3 linked regions of the Caenorhabditis elegans genome follow. The protein of the gene in region 3 interacts with the protein of the main gene of each other region in a pairwise test. Each region holds a gene or a part of one and is shown on either strand. Other genes may lie near its edges.

Evidence for each region. Proteins that work in one complex are often made in the same cells at the same time.
Region 1: the proteins of itsn-1 (region 3) and rme-4 interact in a two-hybrid assay, tested with the Caenorhabditis elegans proteins (2 studies listed by BioGRID).
Region 2: the proteins of itsn-1 (region 3) and tfg-1 interact in a two-hybrid assay, tested with the Caenorhabditis elegans proteins (3 studies listed by BioGRID).

What each region holds. Positions count from the first base shown.
Region 1 is NC_003284.9:10,372,727-10,379,517, forward strand, and holds rme-4 (UDENN domain-containing protein), read right to left. Parts: upstream 5,044-6,791; 5' UTR 4,885-5,043; coding exon 4,865-4,884; intron 4,817-4,864; coding exon 4,658-4,816; intron 4,595-4,657; coding exon 4,478-4,594; intron 4,038-4,477; coding exon 3,869-4,037; intron 3,826-3,868; coding exon 3,596-3,825; intron 3,175-3,595; coding exon 3,072-3,174; intron 3,027-3,071; coding exon 2,691-3,026; intron 2,640-2,690; coding exon 2,544-2,639; intron 2,290-2,543; coding exon 2,236-2,289; intron 2,189-2,235; coding exon 2,060-2,188; intron 2,018-2,059; coding exon 1,845-2,017; intron 1,282-1,844; coding exon 876-1,281; 3' UTR 506-875; downstream 1-505.
Region 2 is NC_003279.8:14,099,692-14,104,975, forward strand, and holds tfg-1 (Protein tfg-1), read left to right. Parts: upstream 1-1,630; 5' UTR 1,631-1,674; intron 1,675-2,355; coding exon 2,356-2,536; intron 2,537-2,588; coding exon 2,589-2,734; intron 2,735-3,384; coding exon 3,385-4,518; 3' UTR 4,519-4,779; downstream 4,780-5,284. Other genes in the region: tdpt-1 (5'-tyrosyl-DNA phosphodiesterase), read right to left, coding at 1-32, 166-260, 933-1,153, 1,203-1,277, 1,341-1,392; dnj-29 (J domain-containing protein), read right to left, coding at 5,103-5,228.
Region 3 is NC_003282.8:17,118,078-17,125,714, forward strand, and holds the start of itsn-1 (Intersectin-1), read left to right. Parts: upstream 1-1,604; 5' UTR 1,605-1,606; coding exon 1,607-1,756; intron 1,757-1,807; coding exon 1,808-2,392; intron 2,393-2,875; coding exon 2,876-3,337; intron 3,338-3,484; coding exon 3,485-3,709; intron 3,710-3,749; coding exon 3,750-4,386; intron 4,387-5,167; coding exon 5,168-5,538; intron 5,539-6,124; coding exon 6,125-6,441; intron 6,442-7,341; coding exon 7,342-7,637. Other genes in the region: uaf-2 (Splicing factor U2AF 35 kDa subunit), read right to left, coding at 1-322, 374-466.

The DNA of each region.
Region 1 (6,791 bases), on a different chromosome or scaffold from region 3:
TAGAAATCATTGAGTGAGAGAAGCTAGACGGTCGCAAAAGGCAGCAGACGGCAGGGGCCCCAGGAAGGGGAAGAGCGGAGGAGACGAGGACGGCCATCTGTTAATATGCAGGAGAAATAGTGTTATGATGCAGGGTAGTCGTAGATACGTTTGGTTCACTTTTCCAATATATTGTAAATACTGTGAAAATTGTCAAAGCATAATATTTTTTCCATTTAAAATTATGGGATATTTTCCAAAGTCTCAAAAGTTTTATAGCGCCAGTTGGGATAACTTTTTTGAAATCTAAAAAAAACGATTTTATCCTTTCAACTGAATTATTTTTGTCACAAAAGATCTATTTCAAATATTTACCGTATTGACGCTACTCCATTCAAAAATTAAAACAAAAAAAATTAAATGGAAGCTGTCCAGTATATTGTAGTTTTTAAGTACTTTCGATAGATGCTAAAATAAGTGAGTAAATTGAAATAAATTGAAATAATAACATAAACTGAATGAAAAGTCACCCAACATTATTGTTTATTCCAAACCAGAAAAATAAATAAATATATACTTTTGACAAGAAAAAGTTAGAATGCCGGCATTCGATGACAATTTGATTTGACAAGTTCCTTTGGATTTTTGAAAAATATATACTTAAACAAAATGAATAAAATGACTGAATTATCGTTGTGACTTCAGTCTCGCAGGAGTACAAGGAACAAACGATTAAAAAATATGAGAATATGGAAAAACAAAATAATTTGACTAGTGGGAAGGGGGAAAGAAATGGGTTAAATTTATGAAAGTAACCATACGACTCTAGCCATAGAAACTCAAATTTCATACACATAAATAATTTGTTTTTCATTTTGTTATCACATGATTGTATTCTACTCGAAAGTTTCCCATTTGCTCCGAACCGGAGGAGGGGGGACTCGTATTGCTGAACTAGTGGCAAAAGCAGTTGCTGGTTGCCCTGACGATGTGCTCGATGGGCCAACTGATGCAGGTCGTCGGGGAGGTAGCGGCGGAGGAGCATACCAATCGGGTGCAGATGGGTTCATCGCTGATGGTACGCTTCCTACTTGGCTGACTTGTGCCCACTGATGGCTTTGTTGAAAATGGAGTAGGTGAGGTGCTGATGATCCACTTGGAGAGATTGACTGGACCGATGAGCCAGGAATCATGCGAGGATGTAGAGGTGGTGGGGGTCGAGAGGGCAATGGAGGCGCCGAGCCTTCTGGTGACGTCGCAAATGGGTCGGCAAATACGTTTCCTATTGCTCCAGATGGCGACCTGAACATTTGTAAAATAATTAACTGATTTGCGAATAACATAGTAACAGATTTGGTTTTCAAATTACCAGGTTTTGGCAATACATACATGTTTTATATCTTGATCAAGATTACTATACAAAATGTACCAGCATGTACAAGCACCAGCATTTCAAGCACCAGCTTGAAATGAAATTTTTTTTAATTCTTTTTAGTTATGAAACTATTTTTGAAACGGTGTTAGAAAACCAAATCATCAGAAGTTATCAAATGCATTAGACTTCTCATTGGACACACTGCAATTTTTTTGATCCTCGTTATATTTGAACAAAGTATGATTTTTGTTTATAAGGCGACATTACTTTTTATTCTACATATAAGCAATTATGAGATTTCCGAGCGTTTCCAAAATACTTCTACCTAGACAGAAACAGCCAGAAGCTTATAGATTAAAAGTGGATTAAACTCAGGCAGGCGCACAACGAACAGATAATTGTTGGTTGCCAGAAAAATAGAGCGAAAAAGTTCTACAAAGAGCCACAGCGTTATACTTTTTCTGGGTTGATTATTTGATCAAATACTCACTTGCGGTTGTTAGTTGCAAGTTCGGAGGGACGAAGAAAGTACTGTTCATCCACTGATGTAAGCCCAGACGCAGAACTTGTAGAAGGTTCATCCAAATCAATGAGGTTGGCTACTGGAACATTGTCCATCCTTGTTTCCACCGGGAAGCCCTCGTTTTCGTCACTTTTCTGGAACTATTCAAAAATATTAATACATTCTGTTATTTTCTAACAAACCGTTGCATCCCATTGTAGGTTATCAAAAGACATTGGCGACTGCTCAAATCCATTTTGATTGTGTGCTTTTTTTCTTGCCGCTGCTTTTCGTATTTCCCGAGGCGTTAGTTTCTGGAGACGATTTGCAATCTAGAAATTTGAATGTTTCAAATAACTTAAAATGGGTTGAAAAATACTTGTATTCCAGAAGTTTTCAATGCTCCGATGACGTCATTGGCATTCTCCTTGACCTGGAAAATCTTTTCAATTGCATTAAAAATTAGATGCCGAACAAGTTAGAAAATTTTTCAAAAGTCATGCACTTGGTTAAACTGAAAATCAAGTTGCTGAGATACTGTTTGACAACACGAATCTTACTGATTGCACCGTAGTATGCACCATTGGCTCATGATGATTTAGCTGAATGTTGGAATATGTCCGCACACTCGACGAGTTAACGTCATTGCGTTATACAAGCTATGATAACATTTGCTTCATCACTTACCGGCCGGTTTTTCAGATCCATCTGTTCGATTTCAATTTCGAACTGGTCTCCTGGCACGTGTCCGTCTTTGTACAATTCTAATCGGTCGTGGATGAACTAAAATATTTAATTATTGCGACTTATCAATATGCTTGTGCGGAAACTCACTCTTTCTAGGTACTGCACACCATCCGCACCTAATAGTGATGATACGTATGCTTGGTAGGATGGTTTTTGTTGCACCACAAACCGCTCTTTGGAAAAAACCAGAGTTTCAGGCGTATCACCAGTAAATCCACTTGTGTAGTCACCAAACAGCATAACCATAGCTCGTAAGAAGTGCTTTGCAAAAGTGTCATCCATTGCTGACTGCGACCGAAGTTGTGCTTTCAAAAAGTTTACAACTTCTTGAGGCATTGCTGCTACATCATCGAATGGGCTTGTTAACGTCTTCTCGTCAATATCAACAATCACCACTTCGCCGATGTCTCTTATATTCAGCCTCTTAAATAAAATACAATATTGGGACATCTATTCGAATTCACAAACCGCATTTTCCAAAACAGTTTTTGGAACGCCTATCAAGTATGGCATTGGTGCCATTACCATGTCGACGAGAGACTCGGGAAGAATTGTGATAAAAACTGATTGCCTGAAATATACATTGAAGTACATTTTAGAAAATTTAATAGCTTTTCAATAAGCGTCCTCATCATTGAGTTCAGAATTTTTGTTCCTAAAACTATGATTAAATACAGTCGCAAGACCAAATGTTTCGTGATGTTAATGTTGAATTCAAATTTTTCACCAAGTACTTTCAAGATTGTTTAAGAGAAACTTGAATTCTATGTATATGCATCACTAAATAATATAACAAGTTATCTTATACTGTATACCCTTTTACATTGCTTTTGATTTTTATTTCTTAACCACGATTTCTTATTACGTGGTATTACGTACTTTGTTTTAGTTTCTTAGTTATCTCAGAACTGCTATCACAGAACTGCGATTGCAATGCCTCTTGCTACCAATATTTATGTAAACATTTTTGTTAGAAATTTTATATTACTCACCAACACATTGGGTAGAGAAGCATCGAGACCGCATGGAGACATGAACTCAACGATCCAACTTTCCGCCCAGTAAACAGAATACGACGTTCTTTCAGTAGACTTGCAAAGATTGCTAACATCTGCCGAGGGTCGATGGCGTTGTAGAACTCGAGGAAAAACTTATCCGAGCCAAGAGTTGGTAATCGCGTGTGATCGGGAATTTTTTCAGCAAACACTACTCGATAGTTGTGCTGAGAAAATATTGCACATTTAGATATAAACTAAGGTTCTTACTCCATCTGTTTGATTACTATCAGCAAATCGTAAATATTCGTCAATATTTGGAATATCTGTGTGATAGAATTTGGTGAGCACTGATTCAACATCTTCCCTTTGCGCTGAACCTATCACCAAAGAAATATCGTTAAGAGCTTTGAAGAAGACATTTGGCCAGAAGAATCCACTGTAAAATATTCATATTTTTAAAGAGACATTTTTCTGACTACTTCTCTACTCTTTTCTACCGCCTTTTTTTAAAGCATATTTTAGTTCCAAGCAAACGGTTTTGTATTTTTTTTTAAGTTCTTGTGATAATAATGTTCACCATCACAAATCGTTTTCTTTTTTAAAATATTGCAATCATATTCGTCATCCTATCCTACGCGTTTAACATTCTTTTCATTTTTTCGCATCACACAACAACAACAACAGTTAAAAGTCACAAGAAAAAACGAACTCTGTTTTGTTCTTTTTTTCGTTAACGTTTTTGCAAGAGTTTATTTAAAAGGAATAGAAAAGAAAACGAAATATGATACTTCTCCTCTGCTCTTCAGGACTCATTTTCCCATGACAAAACCAAACGACGGCTATTTGTCAAAAGTAATGATGGAAAATCACTCTCACCTCAAGAAGCAGATGCACGTGTCGGTTCTTGGTGTATAACGGCAAAATCCAAACGAGAATTTGGAGTTCGAATCGGTTAGAACAAAACTGAATAATTGCACTGCGTCGACTTCTACTCTGAAATATTATAAAAACATTTTAATTCCATACCAATTTAGTTTTTTTTTAACAATTACGTACTCTCGTAGTTGACATGGAAATGCAAACTGTTGAACACTTTTCACAATAGCTGGATCGTGGAAATCGTCGGGATACTGGAGTCTTAAAATAGCAAGCTTTTCGCCAGGTTTCGGGGCATCAAGTTCGCAGAAGACGTCGTACAGGGTGGCCACGTCAGCTCTGAAAATATATTCTAAAAATGGATTGAACATTTCACAACAATCTCACCTGTATCTTCCATAGGTCATATGTGAAAAATTAAAGCCAATTGGGAGATGGAACCAACGGCAGAGAAGAGATCTAGAGATCGAAGACAATTGTTAAATTGAATTGAAGGTTAGCTTCAGCCACCCAACTGGGAACAAACGGACTGAAAACTGCTGGGCGGCGACAGCAGGAAACACTTGCAATATTACAATAAAAAGAACGGAAAACGAAAACTGCGTTAAAAGAAGACTGCTGGCGCGTTTCTCTTTGTGAATTCAGCTGACACGCGACTGAACGACAAAAAGAGGAGGGCGAGGAGAGACTACAGCAATAGAAGAGAAGGAAAAGAAACATGGAAAAAATGAAGAGCGAACAAGGCGTGAGAATGAATGGGATAAAATTAGTGACATAAATTTAGAAATAGAGGATGGAGTAAAGAAGAAAAATGGGTGCTGCCACCAAAAGCATCACATAAGAATCAAGAAATGTTACTATTCAGACTACTGGGTAACAATACCAAGAAAAAAAGAAACATGTGTCTTTTTTTTTAGTATCGCGCAGTCCTGTGACGGATGAGGAAAATAGAGCTGTCAAATGGAATGAGAAATGGGCTGTTGAAAAGGAGAAAACAGAATACTGAATTTCGTTGTGTTTTTCAGAATTTGATAACATACAGAGTTTAACTGTAGGCTACTTTGTGTATTTTAAATTACATATTTTTAGGGGTTTCAAGTTAAAAAGCGGATTTGTAGATTTTTGTTTTTTTGTTTTTTTGTTCGTTTTGTTCAAATTTTTGATCAAATTTTCGTTAGTTTTGAATATTATATCAAACTGCTAAACTTGGAAACATTGAAGTTCAAAAAAAATGGGAACATAAAATTTATTGGTTAAAGAAACAAATACTTTTGACTCAATAAAAGTATTTTCTTAAATAAATTCCGCTACCTATCTATTTTAAAACAATAAGGCTTTCAAACATGTTTTGCTTGCTTTTCTCATTGTTGATATTTTCTATGTTAACGTTACATAAATTTGACGGTCCTAATGAGCAATCTTTTTTTCATAAATGCCAGAAAACTTAACTTCCAAAAGCCGAACTCTATCTGCAAAAACTGAACAGTTTGTTGTCATCTAATGTTTTTTTTCTGGAAGAAAAAGAGTCTAGTCACTGATAGGAATGAAAAGACGCAGAGAATGTGCATGCACAGTTTGTAGAGGGATAAGACTGCAATCTATTTCTGACATTGCAAGCGAGAGAACGTTGTGCTCATATAATAAGAGAGAAATAGCCCATCTAAGCGATTTGTACGAGAAAAAAGTGAAGAAGTTTAAGAAACATGGACATATGATTTTGAATGTCTATGCAAAAAACGACTTATCAAGTCAAATTTATTGTAAAATTTACTTTTCAAATTAAAAGAAAAATAACCTAGAAAACTACAAAAATGCGAATTAAAAAAGTTCACTTCAAATCGGGACGAGTTTATGTAGTGCGTATTTCCCGCCGTCAGGTGGGGACACTGTGCAATGAAAAGAGGAGGAAAGATAGACGAAATGAATAAACACAGTGACGAATCGATAAATGCTACGAGAGTCTGAATGGTCTTGTTACGACAATAGAACGCCTTGCTCACCCTTTCCTTCTTCAAATGACATCTATAGTACCTGCTGAGAAGACTTACCACCGGCTTGTGTTCCACGTTCTGTTTGTTACTCACAATTGCTAAGCAACATGATGCTTTGTCTTGGAAATGGGACCGTGAGAGCTGTCCCTGGAAACCAGAAATTCAGGAGTAGTAGTGGAAAGTTGAATAGTTTTTTTTAGTGTGGGGTACGAAATACAAAATACAATTTCAAGTTTCCAAAAATTCAAAAATAAGAGAATACTGGTTAAAATGTATAAGTCCCAAACTACAATTTCACTACAAACCGAATAATTAGATTTTCG
Region 2 (5,284 bases), on a different chromosome or scaffold from region 3:
CTTCTTGGAGGAATAGGATGTCCGGATTGACGCTGAAATTTTTTTTTGGCGTTTCAGGTTGATTTTTGAAGATTTTTGACGGTTTTTAGTGATTTTTTTGCTGATTTTGCATCAAAATCAACTAAAAATTTGAAAATTCCGTGAAAAATCGCCGATTTTGCTCACTTTTTGACAATATGAGCCACTGCTTTCATTCTTGTGAGCAAGCTTCTCCCGTCGAGCCCATCAATGTTCCACGACATTACGCTGACTTCGAATCCCTGAAAAAATTTGAAATTTGTTGGAAAAATCGCGAAAAAAGTGAATTTTTTTTTGGTGAGGCTAAGCCGAGTTTGTAGTTTGTAGTCTTAGCCTCAACCAATTTTTTTTTCGGAATTCAGGTTAAAAGCGTGATTTTTTTCAGTTTTTCTAAAGATTTTCGAAGGAAATTCATGAAATTTTATGGAAATTTGAGCTTTTTTGAAGAAAAATGAGGGAAATTTCGAGTATTATGCTTCGGAAATGTTTGGTGAGGCTATACCGATTTTGTAGTTTGTAGTCTTAGCCTCAACCAATTTTTTTTCGGAATTCCGGTTGAAAGCGTGATTTTTTTTTAGTTTTTCTACTGATTTTTGAAGGAAATCTATGAAAATTTATGGAAATTTTAGTTTTTTTGATAAAAAATGAGGAAAATTTCAAGTATTTTCGCCAGATTTCGCTTTGGAAATTTTTGGTGAGGCTCGGCCGATTTTGTAGTTTGTAGCCTGAGCCTCAACCAATTTTTTTTTTCGGAATTCCGGTTGAAAAAGTGATTTTTTTCAAATTTTCAATGATTTCTGTGAAAAATCACTGAAATTTTACGGAAATTGCAGCATTTTTGAGGTTTTTTAACTCGAAAATCGATGTTTTTAGGTGGTTTGGCTTGATTTTGCTCCAAATATTCTTCTATTAACCTTCAAATCCTCTGCCGTCATCACCGCAGCTCCAGAGCTCGCCATAGACGATGAAGCGCCCATTACGGCCGCACTTCTGGCCTCTGCGAACGCCTCACTCCCGTAAAAAACGTCCAGAGCCTTCTTCAAATCCCAGTCTACATCCTGTAAAATCGACTGCGCAAAAGCCTCATCTGTGGCCGTGATTATTGCAAATTCATGCAGTTTTTGCTCGTCGCTCACTGAAAAATCGCGGATTTTCGCCTTAATTTATTGATTTTTCGGGTTTACTCGACGAATTTTTCAGTTTTCCTTGCTCCGGCTCATCTAGAATCTCGATTTCGACCTCGGAATCTTCTTGGGACACTGAAATATATTTTATTTGATTTAAAATTCAAATATTTTGAATTTCCAGCTGCAAAGCCTTACTTTTCTGTCGTTTAGCCTCAATTTCCTGTATTTCATCGTCAGAATTCGACATTTTTGAGCTGAAATTAGAGGATTTTATCATATTTTTTCAGAAAACGCGAAAAATCCACACGATAACTATTGAAATTCAAAAAATCGCGAAAAGAATAACTGAAAAGGCGGAGTCTAGCCGGGGGGCGTACCCTATTTGCAATCCTGGCACGCGTGTTGCAACTGCGGCGCACTTTTACCGAACGTGGAATTTTATATCGCGGATTTGGATCGTTTTTCTTCCCGTTATTTTCCCATTTTTCCTTGGTTTTCTTGCAGAAAATCCATAAAAATAGCAAGAAAAGTGAGTATTAGAGGTTAAAATCGATATTTTCACCATAAAAAAACCCCAGAAAACCGGCAAAAAACGATGAAAATCCGTGTGGAATTTTTTTAGACCTAGTTTCGCAATTTTTTCAATATTATCTTGAAGATTTTGATCTATTTTCGTGATCTTTACTTATTTTATGTGCCATATCCCGATTTTTATACCGAAAACCCGCGAAAATCTAGAGATTCCGATGGAATTGCTTTATTATATTACACGTGGAACTATTTTATTTCTTGATTTCTGCCGGTTTCTTGCTTTAAAATCTTAGAAAATAGCGTTTCAAGTGGGTTTTAGAGCCGAAAATTTAGATTTTCGATAGGAAAATCGCCTAAAAATCGATGAAACCATATTTTTGGCCTACTCCCGCTCTAATTTTGAAACTTTGATCTCGTTTAGGTCGAATTTCAACTAAAAAGTCGAATTTTCCTGTCAAAACACATGAAAATCCAAAATTTTCGTAAAAATATGAGCTCCGGATAAACTTGGGTGAGGCTGAGCCAATTTCGTAGTTTGTAGCCTGAGCCTCACCAAAATTCGGATTCTGTGTTTAATTCTTGATTTCTAGTTGATTTTCGCCGGTTTTTTTTTGCTTTTTTCTTTCTTTTTCTCCCGCAAAACCCAATTTTCCCTTTAAAAAACCCCCGTTTTTTCCAGATGGTGCATTCAAACGGAGCCATCACGAGCACAATTCTGAAGGCTCGTCACGCCGACGTCGTCCGCAAGACGTCACTTCACCACGCCAACGACTTGACACTCATCGATCTCGTGCTCAATGTGCAGCGGCTTTTGGCTCTCCCATCCGACGCGAATTTCGTGTTGAAGTACAAGGATGAAGGTAGGAATTGCACTGAAAATTGCGATTTTAATTCAATTTTTGTCAATTTTAGAAGGCGATTTGGTGACACTCGCCGAGGATAGCGACCTCCTGCTGGCTCTTCACACGTCTGGAGCCACGCTCGACGTGACCGTCGTTGTCGACTCGAGAGCTCGTGAGGCTGTGCACGATGTGCAGAAGCAAGTCGAGCAGATTAAGGTAAGGAGGATTTTGAGCGAAAAAAAACGATTTTTGAGCTGAAAAGCGCAATTTTGAGCGGGAAAATGCAAAATGTTGCAGAATTTTCATCGAAAATGCTGCATTTTTGAGCTTTTTAGACAAAAAAAAATCCGGAAAAACACTGAAAAATGTTGGTTGAGGCTAAGAAACAAGTGTAGTTTGTAGTGTGAGCCTCAACCAAACTAGCCAAAGCTTGAGTGAGGCTATGGTGATTTTGTAGTTTGTAGCTTTAGCCTCAACCAAATTAGCTAAAGCTTGAGTGAGGCTATGGTGATTTTGTAGTTTGTAGCTTTAGCCTCAACCAAATTAGCTAAAGCTTGAGTGAGGCTATGGTGATTTTGTAGTTTGTAGCTTTAGCCTCAACCAAATTAGCTAAAGCTTGAGTGAGGCTATGCAGCTTTTTTTTGTTTATAGTGTGAGCCTCAACCAATTTTGTTTTTAAAATTCACAAAATCTTTGGTTTTTCACTGAAAAATTGGAGAAATTTCAGCGTTTTCATTGATTTTTAAACAAAATTATCCAAATAATCGGTTTTTTTTTTCAATATTTTTAACACAAAATGGCTAAAAATTGGAATTTCTAGTACTACAGCTAGCGAAAAACGAATTTTAATTCAATTTTTCTTTCAGCTTGATGTTGGAAAGCTTCTTGGCGCTCTCAGTGCTCTCGACGTTGCCCAGATCGCCGAACAATCGAACACATCGGTGGCGAATCTCTCGGCTCCAAAACAATCTCACCACGACAATATTGTGTTCCAAAAGAGCTTCGAAGCGGCTCCACCATCGCCAGTGCCTTCCGAGAAGGCCGAGCTCCCGGCGACGATCCAACCGTCGGTTCACGAGCAATTCAATCATCGCCCGGCGCACGTTGAGGAGGAGATTCCGTTGGAGAATCACTATGCTCCACCACCACATCAGCAAATTCCCGATGATCTGAACACTAGCTTCAGCTCCCAGCCACCGCCACCAATTGAGCAATTCGGAGCGATTCCGCCACCGAACGCGACGATCCCGTCGTTCCCAACGTCGAATGCGGCGAGCCCACCAGTTCAGGAGTTTGCTCCACCGCCTCCACAGCAGCAGCAGCAACAATTCCAGGCTCCACCACCACCGATGGCGTCGCACTCTTCGATCTCGTCGACTCCAGTGCAGCAGCAAGGATTTGCTCCACCGCAGCAGTTTGGCGGGCCACCACCGTCTGGACCACCATCAGAGTATGGAGGATATGCTCCACCACAGCAGCAGCAGCAGCAATTCGGAGCCCCACCACCGCAGGGAGCTCCCCAGCAAGGATTTGGAGCACCGCCACAAGGGCCACCACAGGGAGGACCACCACAAGGATCCTTCGGAGCTCCACCACCCCAGCAATTCCATGCTCCATCACCACAATCGTTCGGAGGGCCACCGCCGCCAGTATCAAGTGCTCCAGGAAACTTTGCCCCTCCACCACAATCGGGACCACCGGGCGCTTTTGCTCCACCACCATCCGCCTTCGGAGCACCACAGGGGCCGGGAGGCCCAGGAGGCTACGGTCCACCACCGCCAGGAGGCCCAGGAGCCCCAGGATCGTACGGACCACCACAAGGAGGCCCAGGAGGATTCGGACCACCACCTCCAGGAGGCCCAGGAGCCTACGGACCACCGCCAACCGGATTCCCACCAGTCGGAGCACCGCCACCGGGAGCCGCCGGAGCCCCGGGAGGAAATCCATTCGCACGAGGACCATCTGCCACGGGATACCGCCAGTCGCCGTATCAGCAGTAATTAATCGATAATTTATTGATGTTTTCTTCTTTGTTTGTTTGATTCCCATAATTTAAATATTTTATGTTTTCCCCCGTCCTTCCCCCCTAGTGTACAAGTTTCCTTTTCTACTCGCTCGCCCCTGTTTCCTTGTGATATAGCGCTGGAGCGCCTTTTCTCTTTTCCACGTGGAATTCACATCAATTCTTGTCGTCTTCTCTCTCTCTTTCTCCTTTTTTTAGTGGTATATAATATTTATGATATGAATTTAAAAAATCTCGGGCTCCTGTCTCTGAAATTCTTTTTAATTGAAGCATAGAAAAAAGGGTCTAAATTTCATGTAACTATGTAGAGGAAACATTTTCAAAAGTGATGTGATTGGTGGGAAGGGAATAGAAATAATAATGCATAGGGAACACGAAAACATACAAATTTTTTTAAATAAAATATTTAATTTAATTACTTTTAGAAGAACAGAAAACCCAGTAGAGAAATTGATTGAAATTTTTTTGGAGAAAAGTGCGGGAGAACAATGGGGGGCCACTGAAGAAAAATTGAAAAATAAATTAACGAATAATTTGGAGAGCAATTGTTGGAGCATTTCGCTACTCTTCATCCGAGTCATCGTCTTCTGTATAATCATCGTCCGACGACACTTCGACGGCTTCATCGTCCTCATCCACGTAGTCGTCGTGCTTGATTTCGACGAATTTCGCCTCTTTCACGTCGATCTGCAATAATTTTGAATTTATTGTTGAGAAATTTGCTGCTTTTTGTGTCGAAAATG
Region 3 (7,637 bases):
AATCATTCTTTGCTTTCTCGGCGTCCTCTTCCTTCATAAATTTGACGTATACGTTTCCGACCATGTGTTCTCCGATATTCTCACAAACGTTGATCTCCTCCACTTCTCCATATTTTCGCTCCATCTCCACAAAAACCTCCTCGTAGAAATCGTCAAAATAGCGCTGTTCCTGATCATTCCGCTTGCCGACTTTATCGAAAGCATCCGCCTGACGGACATCCACTACCGGATTGTGGTAGAAGTTTTTGAGCACAACTGTTGGCGAGAATGTCGGTGTATGATGGGCTCTGGAGCATTTGTCTCCGTGGCGGCAGGCTCCTGTCTGCAAAAATTATTTAATTATTGAATTTTTTCACAGAAATCCACAACAAACCTTGAAGAAAAACGAGCAATTGACTTTATCCTTCTCAGTACCATAGATTGAGGCCAGGTACTCGGCTCCGGAGAGCCCGTCACCATACGACATTGGGATTCACTAAAAAAAATGATTTTTGACGAAAAATTCAATTTCAGCGGGAAAACCCTGAGAATTACGATTTTTAAACACAAATTCTGACGGAAATACTTCAGAATACAACGTAAAACTCAAAATATCAAGAATTCAATGCAAAAAACAAACTGCGAACCTGAAACAGATAGAAAATGGAAATAATAACCAACTGCCCTGCTAAATTCGAAAACGCAACGAGGCACGCTTTTGTGGGCGGGGCGAGCGTCGGCAAGGTGAGCGCGCGCGTTTTTCTAGCGTTTTCTCTATTTTTCTTTTTTTCTCCCATGACCAGAGATTAATAAATAAGTTGAAATTTAAGTGAATTTCTCTTCAATTTTCCGCGATTATACCGATTAATTCATGCACCAAGGCTGAAAGAACATTTAAAAATCAATTGGAGCTCAAAATTATTTGGAGAAAACTCAAGAATACGAGATTTTTCACTCTAAAACTAAAATTTGTTCTTAAAATGCAAAGTTTTAAATGAAAAAAAAAACATTGATTTTTTTAAATATATAAAAAAGGGGTTTTTGATTCCTTTAAAATTCTCTGCGTCTCTTGCATCTCTCGCCGCGCGCTCTCGGGGACCACTCCTCTTTTGGGGCACGCAAAAATCGATAAGCTTTCGGCGGCGCTTGGCCTCTTTCTTATTTCTTCTTATTTCTCAGTTCCTGAATCCAAATTTACAGAAATTTCGGCGCATTTTCTCTTTTTGTTGCGAAATTCGCATTTTTAGCGTTTTTAATCGAAAAACCCCCAATTGACAAATCCGTGGGAAGTTTACATAGAAATTTCCAGCTAAATTAGGGAAAAATCACGAATTTTAGCCAAAAAATTACATTTTATTGAGCCGCCTCGCTCGCCGGCCGCGCCGCGCCGCGGCCAATTTTTACAGAAATGGCCGAGAGGGAACCTAGGCCACGGCCACGACCGCGACGCAGCTGGCGAGCGGAGCGGCTCAAAAAAATCTATTGTTTGCCCAAAAACATGTGTTTTTTCATCATTTTCGCTGATTCTTCGCATAAATTTCCAGTTAAATTAGAAAAATATGGCTCGTTTTTTCCCTTTTTTGTTGCGAAATTCCCATTTTTTGTCGAAAAATCCCCTGTTCTCCAGATGACAAATCCTTGGGAAGTTTCCGATGCCGAATATCAGAAGAATTTCGCAATGTTCGGCCAATTAACCGGAGGACAACCGTTTATGGATGCGGTCACTGCACGAAATGCACTAATGCGCAGCAATCTGCCAACGCAAGTGCTTTCTCAGGTTGATATTAAACTTTAAAAAAAAAAATGTTTTTATTCAAACAATTTCCAGATCTGGGCGCTGTCAGACTTGGATAAAGACGGCCGGCTCGATATTCGTGAATACTCTATCGCGATGCGACTTGCTCTGAATTGTCTTGCCGGAATTCCGATTCCTCCGCAACTTCCGCCTTCCCTGCTGGTAGTTCCCGCCAGAAATGCTCCACCAACCTGGCCTGGAAGCCGGCATGGCAGTGTAGACTACTCACAAACTCTTCCACCGGCCATTGATCGTCGAATGTCGCAGTCATACATCCCATCTGCACCGGTTTCGATTGCCGGAACTCCATCTAGCAGACACAACTCGATTTCAGCTGGAAGCCCTTTGAATAATGATCGCAATGTCTTCGAAGGCCGGCAGCTGGAAAACTGGGCGATTCCTCACCACAATAAATTAAAATATTCTCAATTGTTTAATGCTCTCGACAAGGAACGTCTGGGCTCCCTGAGCTCACAAGTCGGACGGAGTGCTCTCGGGCTTTCAGGCCTTCCTACCAATGTTCTCGCGCATATCTGGTTTTTGTCAGATGTGAATAAGGATGGAAAGCTATCAGTGGATGAGTATGCGATTTCTCAGTATATGATTGAAATGTTCAAAGTATGTGTTTTGTTACCGGCCAGAAGCTCTTTATTCAAAAATTGCACTTTTTCCATGAAAATCCAACTTTTCTGATCTAAAATTGATATAAAAATGTAGAAAAAGGTTCTTTCCATCTGAAAATATTGTATTTTTCATGTTTTTTCAACAAAAATAAGGAATATTTTCAATTTTATTTGTCAAAAACTTGGAATTTCAAAATAAAAAGTCAAGCCACGTGGACGCTCCTCCCACTTTGCAACATGCGGCGCGAGTTTTCGCAACACTGCCGCACGGTTGTATTTTCTTCACGAATTATAGTTTTTCAGTGAATTTTACAGGATTTTTCAACGTTTTGCTTGTTTTTTTCAGCAAAATTTCATGTTAAAACGCTGAAAAATCTCAAAATTTCAAATTTTTCTGTACGAAAATCGGAAAATACCCTAAAATCATGAAACACCATAAAAATTTCCGCTGAAAAACTTAAAAAAATTTTTTTTTCAGAGTGGATTCGCGCTTCCAAAAATAACCCCGCTGGAACTTGTCCGGATGTGCGGAATCTCATCAAGATCAGCCAACAATACCCCTGAACTCGAACCAGGAGCGGAGCCACCACAAAAGTCACCAGCTCCGAAAACTTTTGAAGATAAGCGACAGGATAACCTATCTAAAGGTCAGGCAGAACTGGAGAGACGACGTAGAGTTCTTGAAGAAGAGGAGCAACGAAGACGAGCAGAAGTAGAGAAGAAAGAGAGAGAAGAAGAAGCGAAGAAAAATAGAGAAAGACAAGAAAAGGAACGACAGGCTGAAGTTGAGCGGCAAGCTGAACTAGAAAGACAGAGAATAATTGAAGCTCAACGGGAGGAAGAGGAGAAGAAGCGGAGGCTAGAGATGGAGAGACGCAGAGAGGAGGACGAGAAAATGAGAAAAGTTCAAATGGAGAAGGCGAAAGTTAAACAGATGCAGGTACAGATGCCTGAACAGAAAAAATGGAATTTTTATGTGGATTCTAGGCGATTTTTTGAGTTTTTCTTTTGAAAATTGAACTTTTGGAACACAGAAATTTTATTTACTCATGATAAAAAAAAACCAAATTTAAATCCCTAATTTCAGAACCAGAAGCAACAAGAGAACGAGCGTCTTGCACAACGTCAGCAACGAGAAAAAACGCTGCAATTTCAATTACAAGCACTTGATGAGAAGGTTATCGATGTTGAAGTGGACATTGGAAAAGCCAAAGAAGCAGTAGCAGAAGTGACTGGATTTATTGAGAGAATGAGATCTACGAGAGACGAGAAAGTCGCGAGAATTAAAGAATTACAAGAGACTAATCAGAAGGTAATACGCGTTTAATCTATATGCAAATTACCCAAAAAAGTTCCAGACAGCTATCGAATCTCAAGAACTCGGCCATCAGCTTCTACAAAAACAGTCGGCTCACAAGGAGACAACGCAGAGAAAAAGTGAACTAGAAGCACTGCGAAGGAAACGAGATGCTATTCGAAAAGCTATAGAAGATGCCGCTCTGGAATTATCCACAGAAAAAGAGAAATCGTATAATCAGACGGAGATTTTAAAGACGAATAAGGAAAAGTATAAGACTGATGTTTATTCGAAACTTGTCGCAAAACGAGAAGAATATCGAAATTCGTTTGAGCTTCTGGTTCATGCTCAGACACATGCCAGGAGCAAAATTGGGGAATTTGAAGCGAAATCTGCTCCAGCTTCAGCTGCTCCAGCTCCTGCTCCTGCTCCAGCTCCTACTACCACCAACGGATTCCCTGCAAACTTCAACGATGCATTCGGAGAATTCGATAAAACCGATGCAAGTCAACGTTTCGACGCGGATTTCGGTGCCACGTCGACAGCGGATCCATTTGCTCAGATTGCTCAGGCGCCAGCTCATTCGAAGGGTGCTGTTGATCAATCGGCGTTCAATATTCATGACACTTATAAGTGTCGAGCTCTTTTTGCGTTTGAAGCAAGATCCGAGGATGAGCTCAGTTTTGAACCAGGTGCTGTCCGAACAGCAATATGTCCCTTTAAATGGCCTTTTGTTGTGTAGATTTACGAGCTTCTCCGGAAAAAGCTCGAAATTTCGGAATTCGTAGGAGAAAAAGTTTGGCATAAAATTCAGGAATTTTTAAATTTTTCCAAAAAAAAATCTGAAAAATTGCAAAATTCCACTAAAATCAAGGAATTTATCTAAAATTTTTAAGAGTTTTTCCAGAAAAAAAGCCAAAAAAAAAGAAAATTTCAATTTTTTTATTCTTATCTCTCATTTAAAATGACTTATTTAATATTTTTGAAATAGTTGCATGGAAAACAAATTAAATGCATAAAAGATGTGAAAAATTTCAGAAAATTTGAATTTTTTCGAAAAAAAAAACTGAAAAATTGCAAAATTCCACTAAAATCAAGGAATTTTACTCAAAAATTCTCAAACTGAGCTGAAAATGATTCCAAAAATTTTGAAATTTGTAGGAGAAAACGTCCAAAATTCAGGAATTTTTAAATTTTTACGAAAAATTATTGGAAAAAAGAACTATTTTTCCGCAGTTTTTTCAAAAAAATTTTGAAATTTTTCAAAAAGTTTGGATTTTTTCGTTTTTGGCAACAAAAAAAACCATCACTAATCAATGTTTACCTAAAAACCCCGTTTTTGTGAAAAAAAAACCCTTTTTTTCCCAAAAAATACCAATTTTTGTCAGAAAAAACTTAACAAAAAGTGTCATTTTTGACAAAAAAAAGGCAAAAATTCGAGAAAAAGTTAATTTTTATTTATTTTTCTTCTAGGAGACGTCATAATCGTCTTCCAATCCCATGCAGCTGAACCAGGATGGCGTGCCGGTCAACTTCGTGAGAAAGTCGGATGGTTCCCAGAAGCATTCGTCGAAGCAATCGCAGCAGTACCTACTCCAGGCGGTGATCCACCTATTCAGAATATGCCACCAAACATGACGCCGAGCTCATCAGTAGATCAAATTGGAGTGAAAGCGGCGCGGAAAGCGGAAATCGCAGCGGCAATGGGATTGACAGAAGGTGGTGCTCCACCTGCTTCAAGTGCTCCAGCAGCAGCAGCAGTAATATCTCAATGTATTGCACAATTCCAATGGAGAGCACGTAATGAGGAGGATTTGTCATTTGCAAAAGGAGATACAATTGAGGTGGAGAGCATTTTGCTGCGAAAAATCCAAAAATTGTCTGAAATTCTTGAGCTTGAACCTGAAAAAAATGAGATTTTACAAGTTTTCCGGCAGAAAATTTGAAAAATTTGAAGTTTTAAGCCAATTCTTAGGAGTTTTCAGCCTATTTTCCTGCAAAAACAGCTTGAAAATGTGATTTTGACGAATTTTTGAAAAAAAAATTGGATTTTCGGTGAAAAAATCGATTTTTAATCTATCTTTCAGCTAAATTGTATGATTTATAAAATAACCTTTTTTCCCAAAAAAAACCATTTTCCCCATAATAACTCTTTTTTCTAAAAAAAAACCTGTTTTCTACCAAAAAAAAACCCATTTTTATCAACAAAGGAACCCAAATTTTCAACAAAAAAAACCTTTTTTACCCCAAAAAAACCTATTTTTCAGCAAAAAAATGAGCGTGGTTTCTGGGGAATTTTTCCAAAAATTTGAAAAAAAATTTAGGATTTTATTCCCATTTCTTCTTTTCACGATTTTTCTTGAATTTCAGACTATTTTTTTTAGATTTTTGAAGGTACACCTTAACTCGAACTAATAACATTAATTTCAGGTACTAGAAAAGCAAGAAATGAAATGGAAAGGTCGAAATCCTGCCGGCGAAATTGGATGGTTCCCGAAAAGTTATGTGAAAGAAGTCGGAGCAACCACCAGCACCACGACTCCGATTGTGTCTCCTTCGAAGGCTTCTGCAGGAGCTCCAGGAGCAGCAGCAGGAGCTCAATACGACGTGGTACCTTCCGATGTGACATTACAAGCCTCCGAAACAGCCCCCCAACAACAACTTTACACTGTGATCTACGATTTTGAAGCTGTCGAGACAACAGATTTGGCACTGCATGTCGGTGACACAATTCTAGTGCTCGAGAAGTAAGTGGAGAGAGGAGCTCTCGCTGCTCTTGACAGGAGCTCATTTGGAATTGAATTTTTTCATTTTTTTGATAGCTTTTCGTATTCTTGCGCTATTATTATTATGCTTAAACGAAAGGTTTCGGGGTATCAATTTATTACATTTTGAACCAAATAAGCCCAAAATTTTTAAAATAATTGTTTCCAATTTTGCAAGGAAAACCCTATTTTTGGCAAAGTAACCTCAAAAAACTATTTCTTGTCCAAAAAAACCTTTTTTTTTTCAAAAAAGTCTAATTTTTGTCAGAAAAAAATCCAAAAATGTGTCGTTTTGCCAAAAACACCAAAAAAATTCCATTTTTGCAACAAAAACAGCTAAAAAATACATTTTTCCCCAGAAAAAAAATCATAAAACTCAGTTTTGCCAAAAAAAAAAACCAAACACGCGTCATGTTTACCAATAAAACTTTTTTTGTTTTAAACCGATTTTTTCAGAAAAAATCCAAAAGTGTCATTTTTAACATTAAAAAAACCTAAAAAGCTATTTTTTCAAAAAAGGCACAATTTTTCTTACTTTTGCCAAAAATGTGTCATTTTCGTCAAAAAAAACCCTGAAAAAAAAACAATTTCCAAAAAACACAATTTTTACCGAAAAAAAATTAAATTTAAAAACCAAAAAAAGCATATTTTCTCAAAAAAATTAATTTCTCCACAAAATTAAAAAAAAGCCCGACAAAATCCAATTTTTGCAAAAAAAAACCGAAATACTCTTTTTTTTCCAAAAAAACTTCATATTAAAAAAAACCCCAAAAACCCAAAAAACTTGTTTTTTAGCCAAAAAAAAATTACTTAAAAACTGAAAAACTGACACCAAAACAAAAATATCAATTTTCAGTGATTTAAATCAAAAAATAATTTCAGAAACGATGAATGGTGGAAAGGGCGTTGCAACGGACGTGAGGGTATCTTCCCAGCCAACTATGTCGAGATATCAGTCCAGCAGGCAGGGGATCCGACTCCACCAACTCAAGCTCCAACTCCAGCGGCTCCACCAACCGTCCTCTGTGAAGCTAAAGTTGTCGTGGATTTTGTTGCATCGGCGCCAAATCAATTGGGAATCAAAGTTGGCGAAATTGTGAAAATTCGTGAAAAATCAGCAGCCGGCTGGTGGGAAGGCGAGCTGATTCGAAATGGAAAACCAATCGCCGGATGGTTTC